Coturnix japonica: one gene and its partners. The protein of the gene in region 3 purifies or fractionates together with the protein of the main gene of each other region. This does not show direct contact. Links are inferred from orthologs where the notes say so. Each region holds a gene or a part of one and is shown on either strand. Other genes may lie near its edges.

Evidence for each region.
Region 1: the proteins of EIF4E (region 3) and EIF3F purify together in Homo sapiens (affinity purification with mass spectrometry; 3 studies listed by BioGRID and IntAct, with this or other methods). This does not show direct contact. The link is inferred for Coturnix japonica from reciprocal best matches to the Homo sapiens genes EIF4E and EIF3F.
Region 2: the proteins of EIF4E (region 3) and HHEX purify together in Homo sapiens (affinity purification with western blotting; 3 studies listed by BioGRID and IntAct, with this or other methods). This does not show direct contact. The link is inferred for Coturnix japonica from reciprocal best matches to the Homo sapiens genes EIF4E and HHEX.
Region 4: the proteins of EIF4E (region 3) and ANGEL1 purify together in Homo sapiens (affinity purification with mass spectrometry; 3 studies listed by BioGRID and IntAct, counting the BioPlex papers as one, with this or other methods). This does not show direct contact. The link is inferred for Coturnix japonica from reciprocal best matches to the Homo sapiens genes EIF4E and ANGEL1.

Annotation. Positions count from the first base shown.
Region 1 is NC_029521.1:13,754,095-13,759,175, forward strand, and holds the start of EIF3F (eukaryotic translation initiation factor 3 subunit F), read right to left. Parts: upstream 3,605-5,081; 5' UTR 3,583-3,604; coding exon 3,309-3,582; intron 3,199-3,308; coding exon 3,128-3,198; intron 3,052-3,127; coding exon 2,972-3,051; intron 2,032-2,971; coding exon 1,894-2,031; intron 833-1,893; coding exon 741-832; intron 529-740; coding exon 392-528; intron 279-391; coding exon 165-278; intron 1-164. UniProt on the Homo sapiens protein: Component of the eukaryotic translation initiation factor 3 (eIF-3) complex, which is required for several steps in the initiation of protein synthesis.
Region 2 is NC_029521.1:17,968,757-17,974,103, forward strand, and holds the start of HHEX (hematopoietically-expressed homeobox protein HHEX), read right to left. Parts: upstream 3,609-5,347; 5' UTR 3,594-3,608; coding exon 3,212-3,593; intron 2,003-3,211; coding exon 1,824-2,002; intron 1,731-1,823; coding exon 1,680-1,730; intron 585-1,679; coding exon 363-584; 3' UTR 1-362. Other genes in the region: uncharacterized protein LOC116653610, read left to right, coding at 4,157-4,314. UniProt on the Homo sapiens protein: Recognizes the DNA sequence 5'-ATTAA-3'. Transcriptional repressor. Activator of WNT-mediated transcription in conjunction with CTNNB1.
Region 3 is NC_029519.1:53,886,131-53,891,289, forward strand, and holds the start of EIF4E (eukaryotic translation initiation factor 4E), read right to left. Parts: upstream 3,505-5,159; 5' UTR 3,400-3,504; coding exon 3,382-3,399; intron 1-3,381. UniProt on the Homo sapiens protein: Acts in the cytoplasm to initiate and regulate protein synthesis and is required in the nucleus for export of a subset of mRNAs from the nucleus to the cytoplasm which promotes processes such as RNA capping, processing and splicing.
Region 4 is NC_029520.1:35,258,897-35,263,497, reverse strand, and holds part of ANGEL1 (protein angel homolog 1), read left to right. Parts: coding exon 1-163; intron 164-794; coding exon 795-864; intron 865-1,669; coding exon 1,670-2,103; intron 2,104-2,761; coding exon 2,762-2,888; intron 2,889-3,679; coding exon 3,680-3,790; intron 3,791-4,503; coding exon 4,504-4,573; intron 4,574-4,601.

The DNA of each region.
Region 1 (5,081 bases), on a different chromosome or scaffold from region 3:
CTCCACCTTCAGCTCTTAAAACATAAAGTTAGAGACAAGAAAGGGCTGTATTTTTTATGACCGTGTTGGTATGAAAAGGTAGTTTTGTTCATAAACAAAATTGTGTCTGTATGATATTTTCAAAATTGCTGGCAATACGCTTAGAAATCAGACAATGAACTCACATTAATATTGCTGTTCAACATCGTCTCAAAGTCCTCTGGTGAAATCTTTGGCACCTGGTTAATAAGATCCATCAGGAAACGCCCAACGGTGTTGTCGGCAGCCACTTTGCCAGACTATGCATAAGAAACACACTTCAGCATGAGTAAAACTCAGTAATAAAAACATAAAAACAGATGCATAATCTTATGTCAAACTTATCTTCAGTCTCATATAAAGTCTGCCTTACCAGTACATCCTCTGCATACTGTAGCACCATACCCAGGGTGTCCTGAATCCTGGCTGAGGCTGACCCCACCTGCTGTAAGTCACTGGACAAGCCGATCACTCGATTAGGGCTAAAGCAGGTCTTCATGATGAGATCCACTGAAAGCAAAACCAGGATCACTGAGAAATCCGACTGACACAGAAAGCAGCTTAAAACTTTAACTTGTTCAATACTCTCTAGGATAGCATCAGGTTCAGTGAGACAGTTTAATTCCCCCCCAGAGTGGTAATTTTACCAGGCTTAATAACCAAACAGCATTTGAACAGTATCACGACAATGGTTAGACCCAAAATAGGAATAAAGCATTCACCTCCTATCCGCTCTGTGTCGTAATAAACATACTTCACTGTCAGTGGTGTGAACATCACGCCCATAGTTTTACCAGGGACTCCCATTGGGGCACTAGGAAAAACACATAAATTCAGCATGGACACATCTGAAAGGAAATAATTTTCCATCTCAATGATCTTTATTAGCACTACAGTGTGAACACGAATAGGTTACTCACTGTCAGTAAAATCAGCAATATTAATACCATGTATAACCAAGGACAGGAAATCAATACAGGTATATTATTAACTGCAAATTTTCATCCAAAAATATTCCTAGCTGGTCTGACATTTATCAGTACAAGCGCATGATGAGTTCAGTACTGTCTTCTTGGTGAAGCTGACATGTCTGAGGGATAAAATGCCATTTGAAGAGACCTAGGCAGACTCAAGCAGTGTGCCCAGGTAAACCTCATGAGGTTTGATAAATCCAAGTGCACCTGGGTCGTGATAACCCCTGCTATCAGTATAACCTGGGGGATGTAAGGATGGAGCACAGCCCTGCCAAAAAGGACCTGGGGGAACTCATGGATGTTAAGCTGGACACAAGCCAGCAACATGCTTTGCAGCCCAGAGAGCCAACTGTATCCTGAAACGTGGCCAGCGGGGAGTGGGATGTGATCTTGCCCCTCTGCTCTGGTGAGGCCTCACCTGGAGTACTGCATCCAGATGCAGAGTCCTCAGCACAGGAGAAACATGGACCTATTAGAGTGCATCCAGAGGAGGGCCACAAATAGGATCCCAGGGATGAAACAACTCTGCTACGTGGACAGGCTGAGAGCTGGGGCTGTGTAGCCTGGAGAATGGTGTGAGGTGACCTGAGTGTGTCCTTTCAATATCTAAAGGGGAAGCTATATGAAGGAAGGGGGGCAGACTCTTCAGCAGAGTCTGTTGTGATAGGACAAGGGGAAATGGTTTCAAACTAAAAGAGGGGAGATTTACATTGGACAAAAAGAGAACATTTTTAAAATAGGGGTGGTGAGGCACTGGCACAGGTTGCCCAGACATGTGGTGGATGCCCCATTCCCGTAGGCATTCGAGGCTGGATAGGGCTCTAAGCAACACTATCAAGCTGTAGGTGCCATCCTGATACAATATCTGTTAGTAATTCAGACAGTTCCTGTCCCCATGTACCTGACATAGGCTTTAATGCTCATGCGTGAGTTCTGGAGACTTGTGTCCACAGTGAGGTGGATTGGATTGTGTGCTTCCCGGCTGTAGTACTCGTGGATCAGGACAGAATGTTCTGTGATGTCGTGACCTGTTGCGTACCTTGGAAAAAGCAAATGTTGAAAGACCACTCTTCTAATGTTCAAATGCCCAGTATTTGTTGGTATTTAACAGGTCTGTATTCTAAAACCCTGATGTCCAAGCACTGAGTTGCAGACACATAGTAAAGACTAGTATTATAACTAGGTCATGTGTAGTTTTATGGCTCTCCTAGAATTATAGGCTGAGTGCACACATGCCCAAAACATGCACAGGGTCAGTGTTGTATTACCATCAAAAAGAGTCAGTTTTTTGTCACTATGCTCTGGGCCAAATCTTTATTTCCTTATAAATCAAAGCATGCCAAGCAAATTTGGACCAGCAAAGTAAATCTTAAACAAATTAAACACCCCTGTGCAGGAGGCAGGGCTTGTTCATCTCGCTCCTTCAATTGCTCCGCAATTAACTTCTTGCATGCACAGGAAAGCGACTGCCATGAGAACTGCACCTTGCTGTGCCATGATGGGTTGTTGAGGAAGCCAAGAGTTCTGCGCTTGTAGGATTTTGTTCCATAGAAAGGGGCCAGAGAGGATGTCAATAGACAAACGAGGCCAGTTATCCGTGCACAAACGAGTTCTTTTCCTGTAACACCCCATCACAGGTATTTCCACCTTTACTCAGAGAACACCCTTGTGTTCAGGCTAACATCACCGTTTCCCACCAGCCCTTTGGTACTTTTGTGTTCTCCCTCCAGCTAGTTACCTTACAGACTGTATCACTGCATTCTAATAGATCCATGAGCATTCCCAACCCTCCTGTCTGTGACAGCTCTTCTAGACTAACCAAAAACGCTCTAAGTCTGCGACAGCATCCTTTCCTATCCTGAGTGATGGCACGACTTCACTGCTGCTTCTGCTTTCCAGCCTCTGACAGCAATGACAGATCTGAGGTATCTGAGGGACCTGCACAACTGCCCGCACTTCCCTGTGGCCATAGAACTCACCAGCCCAGGATGATCTCACTGGGAGACACCTTTTTGTGCAGCTCGTACATGTTTTTGGCAAACTCCATATCAACAGCCACCTGGGGAAGGGGACAGAGCCGAGTCAGCGGGTGCAGGAGCCCCGATGGCACATCCCCCATAGCCCCCACACCGTACCTCATCCTCGGACTCGTTGTGCGGGACGGAGAAGCAGTTGGTGACCTCCACCGAGTGCTTGTCCACGGTGCCTGCGGGACGACAGCGGTTAGTGGGGCGGTATTGGTCTTAGTGGGGCGGTATCAGTGGGGCGGTATCAGTGGGGCGGTATCAGTGGGGGCTGCGGCATTGCGGCTCTTACCCAGCAGGGTCCCGATGACCCGCGCCGCGCCCTCGTTGCGCCGCTCGAAGCTGTCCACGATGGAGGCCAGCACCACCGGGTGCAGCCGCACCACGCGGCCGCCGGGGAAAGGACCCGAGAGCGCGGCGGACAGCGGGGCGGAGGGCGGCGGTGCCGCCGGGGCTGAGGGCGGAGGGGGCGCGGCCGCCGTGGGTGTAGTGGGAGCAGCCGTGGGGCTGGGAGCCGGGGCGGCAGCGGGAGGGACCGGAGCCACAGCGGGAGCAGGAGCCGCCATTTTGCGAAGAGAAAGGGGAGAGACCTCGGCCACGACAATTGGCTGATCGGAACGCCTGTCACATACGCCACTTCCGTGAGCATCCGCCCCCTCATGGGCTGGCGCAGCGCTGAGCTCCTGTCTGCCAAAGGCAGAGCTGTGCTACCTGTGTGACGTGGTGTAGGAGCCTGCTTTGGCAGGGGGTTGGACTCGATGATCTCTAGAGGTCCCTTCCAACCCCTACAATTCTGTGATTCTCTGGTGTGATTTCTTTTTACAGCCCTTACACGTCACTGAGCCATTACTTTTGCATGTGCTGTTATGTCGGCTGCATCTTCACAGCTGATATATAATTTCTATATCAGTAGCTATCGTCTCATCTTGCTTGTGCAATGGGAATAAACATAATTTCTTGTTGAGAGGCGAAAAACCCCTTAGAGTACATTAAAAATATTGCATTGAATTACAGGTAAAATAAAATATGCATTTCATGTAGATAAGCATAATTAGGAAAAAGAATAGCAAGACTGATTTTCTGAATCTGTTGGTATCAAAGAATGGAAGTCTCTTTTCCTGCTTGGAACATCAGGTCTGTGTCTCCAGCTCTCACTGTGTTCATGGAACTCCCTCTCTGCCATTTCTCATGGTCATATTGCCAATGCTTTGGCTGGCTGTTGGTTATCTGTGTTTTTCAGGACTGTATGGTAAGTGTTGAGTCACGGCCTGAACCACTGATTGAACAGCTGGGGAAAGGACTGGTCAGCCCTGGGAGCACAGGTGAAGGCAATTCAGCTGTGTGCCTGGAGGGGATGCAGCCTGCCTGCACCTCTCTTAGACCTTATTTAAGGGCTGACTGCTGCTAGTAAAGGGTTTTTTCCTGGAGATCTCTCCTTAGTGAAGCTTTATGCTGCAAACCTAGAATTTTCTGATACAGGTGAGCAATCTTCTCTTACTTTATAGCACCTTTCTACTGTGTTGGTCCTTTTATCATTGCATCTCTTTTGTAATGCTTTTTCTATCATACTGGTCCATCCAATTGCTACTAGGATTTCTCTGGGGCTTTAGTATGAAGTAGTGATGGTCAGTGGCTTCTGGGTTTTAAATTAAAACTAAGTGGTAGTTTCCTTATTCAGCCTCAATGGAGTGTTTTGGATACTCCTCTGCTTCCTGTTCACTTGTGGTTGCTAGTAGATGAACGGCTATTGTTGGCAGCCTAATTTCTAGTATAATGCATTGGTTGATATGTCTTCATATTAGCAGAAGGAATTCAAACCGTTCCTCACTTTTTTTGCAATGTTTTATGGGGCTACTTTAATTATTAGAGATCCTGTTTGACATGGGGAGCTGCTGATGTTAAAGCTAGAATGGAAATCCCAATCCAGCCCCCAGCCGCTCGAGCAGATGCAGCCCCGCACGTCCCCGCCAGGTGGCGGCGCGGCCCCACGCAGAGCTCCCTGCCCTTTGTTCTTATAGAACAATTTTCCAACTTTGCTTCTCATGGATGAGTGTCCTTTCCTCAG
Region 2 (5,347 bases), on a different chromosome or scaffold from region 3:
ACACATAAAGGCACAGTCCTGCCCTCTGCGTTCCCCCACCACATGAGCTGGGGGAGGGGGGCTCCAGCAGCTGGAGATGGGCACAGCGCTGTGTCCCGGTGAGAGCACCAATCAATGTACACACAGATCTTACGCAGTAAATACAAACCACCGATCAGTCCCTATAATCAAATCAGAGATCTGCCAAAAAACGGACTGTTTGCAGAACATACATCTTTTCTTTCTCAGATTATTACAGAACGAGTCCGTTTGTGCTTCTTTGTCTTTCAGCAGAATGGTGAAAGTCCTCTCCAGTCATAAAATCCTCCTTCCCGCAGTCCTGGGACAGCGCAAGCCGAGTTCGGCTCCGTGCCTGCGGGCTGTCAGCGTGTGGCACTGTGGAAGCCTTTGTCGCCCTCGATGTCCACCTCCTGGTCGGAGTCATCGGAGACGTCGGACTCGGGGTCCTCCTGCGAGGCAGCCGAGGGGCTGTCCTGCGGCTCGGCCTCGCCCCCCCTCGCGGGGCTGGGGCTGCCCTCCGGCCGCGGTTCGCCGTGATCGTCGGTGCCTTCCACCTCCTCCTTTTTGGTGGCCTGGGGGTTCTCCTGCGGGGACAGAAAGACGCTGGGTACGGAGCTACAGGAAAACACCGCGGGGTTCTGTGAAGAAAGGGCTGAGCCCTACGGGCTGACTGCTCTTTAGCAAAGCAAATGTTTGGAGCGAGGCTCCAGACACGGCCTAGACCTCTCCCCAATTACACGGCAATCCCCGTGGCAAAAGGAAGGAGACTGAATTCATCAGTGGCTCAAAAGTTAACGGAAAGAAAAATGTAATTAAGCTCTAAGGATTAACCTCAACATGGAAACACGCTATTAAAAAATAAATCGAACCGAAGTCCATTGCCGAGAGCAAGAGCCCGCATGCCCACATTGGGGGAAGTGGGTGGAGATGCGTGGCACTGCTGAACGGTGTGTGGGGACGTGTATGGGGTCACAGCATGGAGGGGGCGGCTTTGGGGCCGGGAGCTGCTAGCACCGCCGATGGACTTTGCCACAGACCAGCACCGAGTGAAGGAGAAAGGGGATCTGAGCCGAGGTGCAGTAGACATTAGACAAAGCCGCAGAACAAATATTCTGCGTGCCCGAACCAGGCCACGACTGGGATTTTTTCCCAAACGTTTGAGCCGAGGGCACCGTCTGAGCTAGGCCATAAAAACAGAGCTCTGCCCTTCTGCACAGTCCATAAGGCGGAGGAACGGCGCAGCGCCCCGCATCGGGACCGCCCGTAAAGCACCGTGGATCTCCCTGAGCTGCCCCCGACGGGGGGTTGGGGTGGGGGAGTCTCTGAAAGCGCCGTGACCGTCCCCTCCGACCCCACCGTCGGAGCGGTTCACCGTCGCTCGCTTATCTCCCCAGCGCTAATTGGCTAAACAACATATGGGTTTACAAAACAATTAGCGCCGAGTTGCAACGGGCGCGGTGTGAGGGCCGCCCGGCATTGACCCGGAGCCGCATTAGGAGCTTTTAGCATTAGTGCTGCCCGAGCGAGTCCCGTCGGGCCGCGGCGCGGTGTTTGCCGTTTTAATCAAGGTGAAGAGGTTAAACAGTGCCGGATGAGTGCTGCACACATCCCGCACCGGGCGCCGCGCCGAGATAACGCCATTAAACCCGTATTGCTATAGAAACGGAACCATCCCGTACCTGCTTCAGGCGCCTCCATTTGGCTCTGCGGTTCTGGAACCACGTTTTGACCTACGGCGAGAGAGAAAGCTATAGAGTAACACCGGTGGGGCCGCAGGGACCCCCCCCGCCCCCCCAGCCGCGGTGAGCGGGGCAGGGCCTCACCTGGCGCTCGCTGAGCTGCAGCAGCTTGGCCAGGCGCTTCCTCTCGGGTGGGGAGAGGTATTTCTGGGTCTCGAACTTCTTCTCCAGCTCGATGGTCTGCTCGTTAGAGAAGCGCACCTGCCCGCCCTTCCTCTTATGCAGCGGCCGCTGGATGAAGGGGCTCCATAGCAGCGGCTTTCCTTCGGGGAGAAAGGGGCAGCGCCGTCACCGCCAGTCCCGGCCCCCAGCCCCGCTCCCGGCCCCAACTTTCTCTCCGATTTCTCGGCCCCGCGGAGCAGAATGTGCTCAGAGCCGCTCCACGGGCTCTGGCAGCGTTTCCGTCAATGTGTTTCCTGTTGGTCTATCGCGCAAAGAAAATACAGGGTAGAGAAAAAAGCAAAAAAAAAAAAAAAAGCCCTTCGCTTCCTTCTGCTCCTTCACTGCCGCGTGTCCCCTCCGCAGCAGCTCCCACCGGGACGGCCCGGACCCCGCGCTGCGCTACAGCCCAGTGCCCGCGGGGCGCCCCCGGGAGTCGGTCCCGGCCCGGGGTCGTTGGCCGTGGCCGAGGTATCGCTGCCGTCCCCCCCGTCCGCCGCCCGCAGCCTTTGAAATTCGCTGCATTGTTTTTCAAGATTTTTGCTTGCGTCAGGCTTTAGTAATTCTGGTGCAAAACAGCCTCAAAAAAATAGGAAGCAACTGGTTATTTTAGCTGTCATAAAGGCACATCCCACACAGAGGAAATGAACAATATCAGAAAAACGGATCCCGGCTATCAGAAGCCGAGTGTTTCCTGAATTTGTCTGTATTGAGGATGTCGATAAAGTAATCAGCGCCGTGCACGACTCCCGGGGAAGAGCCTGCTCCGGGCGGCCAGGAAAACACTTAACAGCTTCTGAAACCAGATTTACTCCTATCGAGAGCTCAAGGTTTCCTGTATGAACGGAAAGGGTCAGGCTCCTTCGCTGCTGCGGTGCGGTGACTCAGGGCTCGTTTTGCAATCACTGAGGGCAGCGCGGGCCCCGCACCGGGACAGAACGGCCCCCCCCGACCCCCGCCCTCGAGCCGCGGAGCCGGAGCGGGGCCGGTGCGGGCGGCACTGGGACCCGTCGGCAGGAAAAGGCCGCGATCTGTCGCGCGATCTCTCGGCACAATTAAAACTCCCCACCAAAACCACACGCGACATTACTAAGGACACTCCGAGAGGCGCTCGGTTGAAGGAAAACAAATCTGAGTCACCGCGGCCGCGCACTGCGGTCTCACTCCCAACGCGGAGCTGCCCTGAATTTACTGTAAAGCGGGCGGGGGCCGAGGGGGCCGGGGGCTGAGCTCCGCCGCTTCCCCGACGGCGGCACGGGACGGAACGAGACGGAACGGGACGGGACGGGCGGGGCGAGGGGACCGCGGCTTACCCAGGGAGTCCTGGCGGATCAGTGCGTGCGTGTAGTCGCCGACGGCGCGAGGAAAGGAGTAAAGGGGCCCGGCGTAAGCGCCGGTGCCGTAGGTGGCGGCGAGGTGGTGGGAGAAGGCCGGGTGGATGGGGGTCGGCTCGTAGACGGGGGTCCGGTACGGGGCCACCAGGCTGGTGAAGGAAGAGTTGGGCGACGGCAGCGTCGGCGGCGGCGGGGCGGGCAGGGAGTGGGGGGCCGGAGCGGCGGCGGGGCCGCGGCCCAGGATGTCCTCGATGTAGAAGGGCGTGGGGTGCGCGGGCTGCAGCAGCGGCGTGGGCGCGTACAGCGGGACGCCGACGCCCAGGGCCGCCGCCGGAGCCGCGCCCGGCGCCTGGTACTGCATGGCCCGGCCCCCGCGGCCCGGCCGCCCCTCGGAGAGCGGCCCCGAGCGCGGCCGCCGGCTGCTGCCACCGCCGCGGCGGGTTTCTCCGGGCTCGGGTTCCCCTCCGATAGGTTTCTATCGGCGCGGGGCGGAGCCCGCGTGGTCTCTGTCCCCTTCCTGCCGCGGCTCCGTCTAGCCAATGAGCCCGGCCAGGGAAGGGGGAAACCACCCCCGCCGGCGAAAGCTCCCCCCCGCCTCCCCCGAGCGGACTCCCCGCGGCGCCAATCAACGCGAACCGGGTCCCGATGGCACCGAGCGGGCACCTGGGGGGGCGGGCGAGGGGGCGCGTTCCTCAGGCACCGGGCCCGGATTTCGGGCGTCCCGAGGGGCGATCCCCTCCACCCCGCCCCGCAGCCCGGTCCGGCTCTGGGTAACAGAGGGGACGGACGGGGTTGTGCGGGCCCGCGGACGCGGTACCCCTCGGGCACCTACTGCCGCTGAATGAGAGGTAGCGGCGGCGGAGCCCCGGACAGGACGGACGCGCCGCTGGGAGCGGCTCCTGGCGCTCCGGAGGGAGGGAGGCGATGCGAGGCGGCCGCTCGCCCTCCTTCGGCAGCTCCAAACCCCGCAGAACCGTCCCCGCCGGCCAGGGGAGCGCCCGACGTGGGAGCAGGGCGGCAGCAGGTGTCCTCCTCCCTCCGCGTGGTGACAGCCAGCGCAGAGAGCTGCTAAGGAACAGCAGGTGCTGCTTTTATACACACACACACACACATATATATATATTTTTTTTTTTTTTTTTTTTTTTTTCCCCCCAAACCCACGACGTTCTTAATAAGTAAGAGACTGGGAACGAGACGAAAGGGTGTTGTGGAAATGGAAATATATGTATTTTTAATAATATCAGGAGGTTGGATTTTTTTCTTTATGTTGTTAACAAATGCCAAAACTCACCTTTAAAGCGCGGTCTTGTGTCTTGTAAATATCAGGTACACGTCAAGCGGGCTGACAGTTCTGATTATTTTTTCTCTCCGCTCCCGGTCTCCGAGGCATTGCTCCGTCCAAGGGGGTTGCTTAGCTCATGGTTGGGCTGGAAGTGTTGGATTTGCAGCTCGGAGCACTTAATGGGGGCGCAGAAGGCGCTGACCCGCTGCCCTCCGCGGGGCGTTACGGTCTGTGCTTCCCAACGCTGTGGACAAATTTAAGCCAAAAAAAAAAAAAAAAAAAAGGCAAAAATCCTCGTTTTGCTGCATTATTTGAAAACAAATAAATAGAGGAAGAGATTATTCTTTTCTGACTTTTATACCTGCAACAGGCCTTGTTAAAGGGAAGGTTTAATGGCGCAGTTATTACATTCCACTCCCACTGCATAATCCCCAACAAGGAAAATGAAGCACTTAATTTCGCGGCCCCGCAGCACCGCCCCGCTCCGATCCAATTGTTACCCCTTCGCCTTCCTCCTCCCGGCCCGGAGACTATTAAATCGCATTCATGAAAATGTCACATTTATTGAACTACATAATTTTTTAATATCACTAGTGCAGGTTTTATAGTTGATTTTATTGTTTTTACGGCCATTCGGGGCTCTAAAACCCGGATTTTTTCAATGTTGTCCTTATAATTTTTTTCACACAGTCAGAACCAATAAAATAGAGCAGTTGTGACTTTTTAATGCAAGGGGGCTCGGAGTTTCAATATTTTCACTCTGCTGGATACTCAAACCAATAAAAATACATGAGATTTTAATTATTTTCTGGATTAAATCAAACCTTTTTCCT
Region 3 (5,159 bases):
GTGCCATTCTCAGGCAGTTAACAAAACATTAAATAGCACATAAATCTATAGACAACACTTTTAATACCTCCACAATATGAACGATTTAGAGAAATACTACATTTTAGGATTTAAGGAATTTCCCTTTCATGCTTTGCACTGTCTTCTAGCACCGCTCATTTGATTCCCTGCCCTGTCCATTCAAAGCTCACACTGATCCTTACAGAGCTACCAAAGGGTCACACTTCATCTTCAACACTTCCTATGTATCCCTAGACCCGCAGGTTGAATCAACAGAAGCAGCATAACACAGTCTCATACTACTTTTAATGCATTAGCCCGAAATAAGTTTGAAATTCTGTATGCACTGTGAAATGTATCTGTTCTTAAACTGCTTTCAGAAAGATGTTTATCTCAGTTACAAGATGTCCAACGCATTCCTTCTCTTAAACTAATACAGGAGGCTTTGTATTACCAGAAATGTAATCTACAGTGAGGAAGTCAACTTGTGCTAGGAGCTCTCAATTATTTAACAGCACACAAGATACATTTATGTTTACTGTACAATACGTGAGCACTTTACAGATTTCAACCAGAGCTGGACAAGGCTATAGCTGAAATACCTAGTAATAGGAGTAAATCTAAAGCTGAACCTGGCCTGCACTGAATGTACACACTAGCTCTCTGTCATTGATACCTCTCAGCACACCTTGTATTTGAGGAGCTATTTTGAACTTCCAAGAACATCAAGACCCTATATCACTGTTTATATCCCTTCAGGAGTAATATCATTTCATTCAAAGAAAGATCAGCTCAGTTTTGAGTCTGATTTATTGACTATTCTGCCCAAACAACTGTTTCTCAGGCTGTATGACTTGAGTTTACTCTTGAAATGTGAAGTTAGATTAAGAACTACATTTGATCAAGTGCAAAAGTAGCTGTCACAAAACAAACCAAAGATCATAACATTTGTTTCCAATCCGAGCAATAAGGGACCAACTGCTCCTACACAAATTACTTCCACACAACTTATCCCACTCACATGTTTGTTCCTCCATGGTTACATTTTAAAGTCACCTTTGGTAAACTACTGTTTACTAAAGCATTACTATTTGTTTTGTTGTTGGCTTTGTGGACTTTTGCACAGTGTCATCTGATCACATCTAAGGTAAAATTTAAAGCAGTGGAAGTATAAGCCACAGTACAACAGACTTACACATATATAATCCTGCTTTCCTTACCAGTTTCCATTGGAGACTCCGCAGTATCTCCACCTCAAGTCTCAATACTCCTATACAGTTCCAAAAAGTTTTTTCAGCCTCTTAACATGATATAAAACATTTCTAGAACTTATATGTTACTGAGAATGCGCGTCACCAATTTTTAGCAAGACCCTGCTAAACCTCAGACAAGATTTTGAAGGTCTACAGGAAAAGAGGCTCCCTATGATCACAAGGTAATCAAATCCCTAACATCCCCATAGAATTAATTTGTTCTGTGGAATATTATGCAGTATTTATGCAACACCAAGCATCTAAGATCTCTGTTACTATGTGGGCTTGACTCAATGCTTAGGTAGAAGTGTGAGACACCTGGAAGAATAATAAACAAAAGTTTAACTATTTAAAGACATTTAAAATTAAGCAAGCATAGCTGATGTTTCCTGAAGGAAAGCATACTTCATTGCAAGTAGACCCTTTGGTGGCAATGCTGCTTGAACAGTCCTAAGTGTTGGTACATCCTCCGCCCTCAATGGGTCAGCACAACTGCTTATCATTACACAACAAGCTGGATCTGGGGAACCAATCTCTTTGGGAAATGGCGTGACAAAAGCCATTGTTTCTATCTGGCTCGGTAAGGACCCAGATCAAGTTCAGTATGCGATCACACACTTGTGCAATGGAGAGCAATTCAGAGATGGTCATGCTTTTGCCAGTATCACAGCTAAGGAAGTTACAAAGCTGTGCTCTTTGCGTAGCTCCCATTCCAGAGGCCATCAATATGACACACTGTTTATCCCAACACCTGACAAGCTCAGCAACCATTCCAAAGCAGTGAGCTGACACAAAGCTCTCACCTTTGGAAACACGTCTATGGGACACCAAACCCAGTGCTCAATACTGCGGCTGGTGACCGTGGGCAGAGTACTGCAGCTCACTGTCCTAACAACTGCTGCCCTGCCTTCCCAGAACTGCCAGGAAATGTACAGATAGTGACCAGCACCATTGCTTCTTGTAAATAGAGGCAGTTATTTCATTCGTAAAAGAAAATTGGGAGAGCCAACATCCTTCATAAAAGGGTACAGGACCATCTTCCTTACACAGAATCACAGAACGACCCGGGTTGGAAGGGACCTCAAGGATCATGTAGTTCCAACCCCCTGCCTGGCAGGGCCACCAAACATACACATTTACTAGATCAGGTTGCCCAGGGCCCCATTCAACCTGGTCTTGAACACCTCCAAGGACGGGGCATCCACAACCTCCCTGGGCAGCCTGTTCCAGGGCCTCACCACTCTCCTAGTGAACCTAAATCTTCTCTCTTTTATATTAAAACCATTTCCCCTAGTCCTGCTATTCCTTACAAAGTATAATTCATCTTTATTCAAAAACAGCGAAGTGGTTGTTGGATTTAAACACCAAGTGCTACAAAGGAGGCACCGGCTGCTCAGTGTCGGTAAGCCGCGGCCACAAAGAGCCCTTCCTTCCCTTCCTTCAGCCTCTCCTCGTCGCCCTACAGCCAGGCGGTCACCCGGGGCCTACGGGGCGCATGGGAGCAGAGCAGCGGCAGGGCTGGGCCGGCTCCGGCTGCTCCAGTTCGTCGGAGAAACGCAGGCAAGAACGGCGCCTGTGAGAGCGCGGTACCACGAGCACACGTAGGGGAAAAAAAATGCCGTTTTTAGTTGTGAACAAGTCCCCAGCAAAGCTTCCATCCGAGTTTAGTGCGGGCTGCGGGGCGGGAAGGCGCCGTCCCGGGAAGGACGGACGTGCCGCCCGCTCCGCCCTGCGCCGCTCTCACCCGTTAGCGCCGCCGTTAGCGGCGGGCCGCGCCGGCCCGGCAACATGGCCACCCCCGCGCGCCACACGCGGCGCCGCCGGCCGCCTCCTCGTCCTCGTCCTGTTCCCAATCCGGCCGCTGCCGCCGCTCACCTCCCGTTGGCCCCCGCCCGCCCCGGGCCCGGCACAAAGGCCAACGCCGCGCCCTCCCCTCCCCCCGGCGCCGTGCGTGCGTGCGTGCGCTCCGCGCCGGCCCCGCCGCCCTGCCCGCCCCGACCCGGCACCGCGAGGCACGGCCCGCAACGCCGGGGAACGGCGGAGAGAACAGCGGAGTGCGGCGGGAGGGAAGGAGCGGGCGGAGGGGAGAGAGCGAGCGGCGTGCGGCCAGCGGGAAGCGGGCACTCACCGGTTCCACGGTCGCCATCTTAGCTCGGTGTGGCCGCAGCAGCCGCGGGAGGGGAAGGGGCGGGGGAGGGAGAAGGGAAAAAAGGAAAGGGAAAAAAAACGGCCGCCAACACGGTTGGCCGCGAGGCGGTCACGTGGGCACCGCGGCCGTTTGGGAAGGGGAGGGGCGGGCGCTGCCGGGAGCTGTAGTGCAACGCGCGGGGCACGACGGGACGCAGCGGGAACGCGGGGTGGACGGCAGGGGACATCTGGTGGAATAGTGCGGGAACGGGGCGGGGTGAGGACGGGAGATCGGAACAAGGGGCTCTAACGGGATACAGGGGCGGTATTGCTTGTTATAGGCCTGCAAAGGGAGAAGCGCTCTCCACCCAGAGAATCAGGCAGGTTGGAGCTTAATGTGGTGCTGAATGTTTAGAGGTGGTGAGTAAATAAACGTGAGGCCCCTGGGTTTGTTCAGCCCGGAGGGGAAGCACGAGGGGAGGACTCAAGGCTGCATACAGCTGCCACGGGTCTGCGCTCTGTGGCAATGACGGGAGCTGGGAACAGCGCGGAGCTGGGTCAGCGGAGGGACGGCTGAGGGTGAGGGACTGGGTCTGACCAGAGACCTTTCCTTGGTCTGGAAGTGTCTGAAACTAGAGGCAGGCTTACATTAAACATCTGGATGCCCATGGCATCCCCTCAGCCTGGAGGAGGCTCAGGGGAGACCTTATAGCTCTCTATAACTTCCTGAAGGGAGGTTGTAGTGAGCTGGGGGTTGGCCTCTTCTCTCGTGTAATCAGTGATAGAACTAGAGGGAATGGTTTTAAGCTGCGCCAGGGGAGATTCAGGCTGGACATTAGGAAGTATTACTTCTCAGAAAGGGTGGTCAGGCATTGGAATGCACTGCCCAGGGAGGTGGTGGAGTCACCGGCCATGGGAGTGTTCAAGAAATGTATTGATATTGTGTTGATGAATATGATTTAGCTGGGAAGTATTGGTAATGGTTGGACTAGATGATCTTCTAGGTCTTTTCCAACCTCGATAATTCTGTGATTCTGTTATTCATAACAACTCTGGAGTTGGTTTACTGGCAAGCTATGCTTCTAGGAGACCAGTCATGTTTTATCCTATTTTGCTCAGATGGTGATATCTTTAAAGGCAGAATCCCAAGAGGTGGGGTCCTCTTAAAGAGAGAAGATGAAGGTGAAAGGGCTGTCATTTAAAAAACAAAAGGCTTTACTACTTGATGTTTTGCTCCAGTGCTTTAGCTGACTTTGTCCTGCTGCGAGTTAGAAGCGTACATCTAACCACAATACGGGGGTTACAGCAGCTGTATTTTCCCACCCCTCACCCCTTGATTAAATAAATTACAAGTCCTGAGAAATTTATCCCAGCCAAGATGAAAGAAAACTACTGCTTTGCTGTGTGCAAATAGCAGGGTGCGGGGAATCGAGCACAAAATGAGACCTGCCACTGCTCAGATTGTTAATGGTTTCACGGGAGATGATAAGAAGTGAAGGCTGCAGCACCCCTCTTTCACCAGAATGGGCCAGAAATTAAGTGGGGCTATTTTGAGAAATAATATCCTCCCGCAGTAGAGCGGAGCCCAGATTTTCAACTGCTATTCGTGATCATAAAATGCCGCCTGCTCAGATGAACAATAAAAACCCAGCAGTACGAGAGGGATAATAGTATGTTTGAGCCTTATGTTGGTTCCTTGGAATAAGGCCGTAGGAGTGCAGAGAGAGCCTTCCTAGAGAGGCATTTCATTTTCCTTCTGAAATGCTCCCTTCACAGAGC
Region 4 (4,601 bases), on a different chromosome or scaffold from region 3:
AAAAAATCCTCTCTTTGAATTTCGTGTCATGTCTTACAACATCCTTGCCCAGGACCTGGTGGAACAGGGCCATGGTCTTTACCTGCACTGTCATCCAGACATCCTGAACTGGGACTACCGCCTTCCAAATATTTTGCAGGAGATCCAGCATTGGGACCCTGATGTAAGTATGACTTAAGCACCGTACACGTTACTATCACCAGAATTTGAATGTTTTGTTTGATCTAATTGCATTGCAGCAGGTTTTTTCCCTTCCTTTTTTTAAGGTTGAGGAAAGCAGTAGGAAGATGCTGCCTACTTGCTGGCTGAGTGCTGATTCCTCTGAGGCTATGAGGCCTTGTGTGTGCATTTTTGTTTTGCTGCCTATTTTGTCTTGAGTGTGTTCTTGTAGCATGTAGCAATACTTTGCTAACAGGTTAACTTCATAAACAGCTGATGTGGAGGAAGAAGAGTGAAAATTACAAAACCATGACATATGTTTCTTGGGGGAAGGTTTATATGGCAGCACAGGAGATGGGGCTCACATAAGAGAGGACTTCAGAACTTTCTCTATTCTTTGAGCTGTCTTTGCGTGTTGAAGGAACTTTTGCCTCATCGCTGAATGACTGAGTGATAAACTAATGTGACCCAGAAAGTTATCACTCTCTAGATGGGAATTACAGGACAGAATTGCAATCATGGCCTTTCTGTTGCAGGGTTAGTATGCGAGTATACTTTTGCACTTCCTTCCTTCCCTGAAACAAGGTAACTGGCAAATACTGTAGGAGCGAGTGAGGTCTCTGACTTCCTTCCAGGTTCTGTGTCTGCAGGAGGTGCAAGACAACCATTACAGGGAGCAGCTAGAACCAACGCTCGCGAAGATGGGTATGTCCTGCTTTTATCTCTGTATTTCCAGCTCATGGTACTGGCTGACCAGTGCTTCCCACTTAATGTCTTTAAAGCATTCAGTCTTGAAAGAACTTTTCTTCCTTTTTATTTGAGCTGCTGGCCTTACTTCTGAACCACCTGCCTAGACTTTTACCCTTTCGTTTGCAACTGACTTTTCAGTTTGAGAGATCAGAGTAATAAATCTCTCCCTGTCCTTCTAGAACAGAGAAAAGACATGGTTATGAATTATAGGCAGTGATTACTGAGACAGAATTGAGTATAATGCTGCACCCAGAGCATTACAACTGTATGTTAGAATTATTAAGAGTAACTGTATATAACTAGGCGTAACTGTATGGTAGAAAGCATTGCACCTGAAGGAAGAAAGGTTGGAGTCCATGCTTCCCAAGCAGTGAGTCTTATGTGCCCCAGCACTGCTTATTGCTAGAGGGAGCTGAGGCCTTAAGGAATGCTGATAAGGGATGTAAAGTGTTATGTTACTAAGCAACCAGTGCTTTACAAGTAGGGTTGCTTACTGGCAGATGATGACTGATTTTATATATATACTTTTTTTCTTTAGAGCCTAGATCTGTTATAGAAAGCAGGCTGAAAATTAACACAATAGGAATGCATAGGGGTTGGATAAGTAATCCTTCTGTACAGGGTACTGTTAGTATGCTACTGGCTACTGTTAGCATAGCAGACTTCTACAAGTCTACTATACTTACTTGCTGAACTTGAATGGAAAGAGATCCTGAGGTAGCAGCCAGTAGCTTTTTAATGAGTGATGGTTTCTCTTCAGGCTTTGCTTGCTTCTATAAACGGAGGACTGGGAGGAAGACTGATGGCTGCGCAGTGTGCTATAAGCAAAGCAGATTCCAGCTGATCACCGTCAGCCCCATCGAGTATTTCCGGCCTGGCCTAGATGTCCTCAATCGGGATAATGTGGGTTTGGTGCTTCTGCTGCAGCCCCTGCTCCCAGAGGGTCTTGATCTGAAGGCAGTCAGTCCTTTGTGCATCGCCAACACACACGTGTTGTTCAATCCCCGTCGGGGAGATATCAAACTTGCGCAGATGGCCTTGCTCCTAGCAGAGATTGACAAGATTGCAAAAACTGCTGAAGGTCAGTACTATCCTGTCATCTTGTGTGGCGACCTGAACTCTGTACCTGACTCTCCGCTTTACACATTCATCCGGAATGGTGAACTTTTCTACCAGGGATTGCCAGCCTGGAAGGTAGGTGCCGGGCAGGACTGGGCTTGGGTGGCTCTTTACTGCTTGCTGCTGATAAAAGCATGGCTGTATTCTTCCTCTTAAAATAAAAAGTCGCAGTATTAAACTTAATTATTCAGGACTCATCCCCAGTGCCTCCAGCAGTGCTGAGGAAAGAAGCAGACAAATGTGTACACGTTGCTTCCAACACTGCTTTTTTTTTGTTTCTTTTGAGCCAGACCAGTGATAACAGTTACTTCATTCCACATCCTGGTTTTCCCTTGTTGTGGAGTTTTTGTTGCTGGGTGACTGGAAGTGTAGGGGAGCAGAACTCCACCAAGGCAACCTGAAATTTTTGTAGGTGTTTGATATGAAACCAGTTTTGCCCATGAAATGGTTACCTATGCTGGGCTCTTCAAGTGGCTACCTATTAGTTTATATCCATGCTTATTTATGTCTTCGGCTTTCGAGCAAAATTATCAATTCAATAACATATGTCCACAAAGTATGTTTGGTATGGTGACTTCTAGTTAATTGAATCCGTGTCCCACTGCACTGCCACTGTGTGGGCACTTTCCTGTTTTGTTCTTGGTGAGTGTGTATACATACACTGTCTATATCATGCAGAAGTTCTGCTGTGTGTTGCTAACATTTTCCTCTCCTGATTCTTGCCTCCTTGCAGGTGTCTGGTCAGGAAGACCTTTCCCAACAGCTGCATTGTCGGAAACTGCTGTCCCCGCTGTGGCCGAGCTCACTGGGTGTAACAGACAATTGCCAATATGTTTCTGTGTGCCAGCCAAAGAAAAAGGGTGAGCTCTAGTGTGCACTGAGCGTATGAGCTTGCTATGGATTCAGAGTCTGTAGACCTTGCTGTCTCCCAGAGTAGCCAATGCATGCGTCATATGATGCAGTCAGCAACAAATTCTATGCTTATATCCTTTTCCTTGGTATTTGAATTAAATTCAGTTTTTCTGGAATCCTGTAGCCCAGTATCTGCAGTCATATTTCTCTAGCCAGCAGCAGAGAATTCCAGGTAACCATTGCTCTACACAGCTTTTATATTCCCAGACTTAAGCTCTTGTGCAGTTATAAACAGTGTTTGGTATCCATAGCTTTCAACTGCAGGTGTTTGTAAGAGCAATTTTGGGTAGTGATTGAATACCAGTATTAGAAAGTGCCAGGGGGCCACTTTAAAACAGTAATTGTCCTTTACTGTTTCTAAAGCAGATTCTAAAAAAGGAGGCACACTAAATAGTTTTTGTTGGAAGTCTGAACATAAAATTTGTATTCAAACTGATTTGCAGCGCTGTTCTTTCTTTTTAGGCAGACTTGAGTTTCCTTATGTTGGGAGCACACTGATCTGCTTAAAAATCTCTTACACTTACAGTGCTTCAGCGGGAACGTTCTTAATTTGTCTCATCAGGCACTGACCATGATGGATGCATTGGCTAAAGGAATAGAACAGAGCACAGTTCCTGCTGTGTTTAGGTCATTAAGTGATTCCTGTTCTCATGGTGTAAGGGTTCTTGGTATTAGACTTGCTGTAAATGTGACTTTGCTACAGATGTTTTATCGTCTTAAATTGTATTTCTGTCTGCAGGCCGACGTAAGTACAGCCGGGACTTCCTGCTCCAGTTCCAGTTTTGTGATGTTGCCTGTGAACGACCACCAGAGCTGGTCTTCTTGGAAGGTGTGACAGATGCTAAACCAGGTATTAAGGGGTAGTTTTTGAGCTCACGACTCTCCCAGCTGTATAGTGATGAAAAACTGTTGGAGGTAATACCTCGTACAAAAAGGGAAGTCAGAAGGATAGCTTTCTGTGGCTGTGTGATTATTAATGGATTCCATGAGAGATCAGAGCATAGTCTTACTGCAGCACTGACAGTGTTTCTTGAGGCATGCTGGGTTTCAGACTCTTCTGAAGGCCGATTTAAGATTATTGTTGCAGGAGAACAAACCTTAAGATCATAACATCACGATGGCTGCGACATTGATGTCTCTGGATGCTGATACCCAGTAGACAGTACCTCACCCCATGCTTTGTTCCATAACTGGTTCTAATCTCTCCGTTTCTATTCTGCCTTTTTAAAGTTATACCCTTTGTATAAGCTGTAGGCTAAGGCAAATGAACTTTCTGCAAGAGTATAGGTTGAACTAGCCTGGGCTTTGATAGTATAAAATACTTTAAAGACATGTCCTTATTTGGACAGAATATGGCTATAGTGCTCTCAGAATGCTCCTGTTAGTCTTAGCTGGGGTTTCCTTTGAATGTTTTTCTTTGACATGGCTTTGGCTGGAAGCTATCTGTTCTCTGTGGGCAAAAGGACTTACTTTTGTCTCAGGAGAAGTTTTTCAGACTTGGAACAAGCAGCCTGTTCCAGTATCTGTGTACATCTGTCTGGAATCTTTTCTACTCCTTTGCAGACCCCCCTCCATACTGGCCCAAGCACACTGCTCCAGTGAATGACCCTGATCTCCAGACGTTCATCCCAAGGTAATTTGATGCACCTTCTGTGGCACTG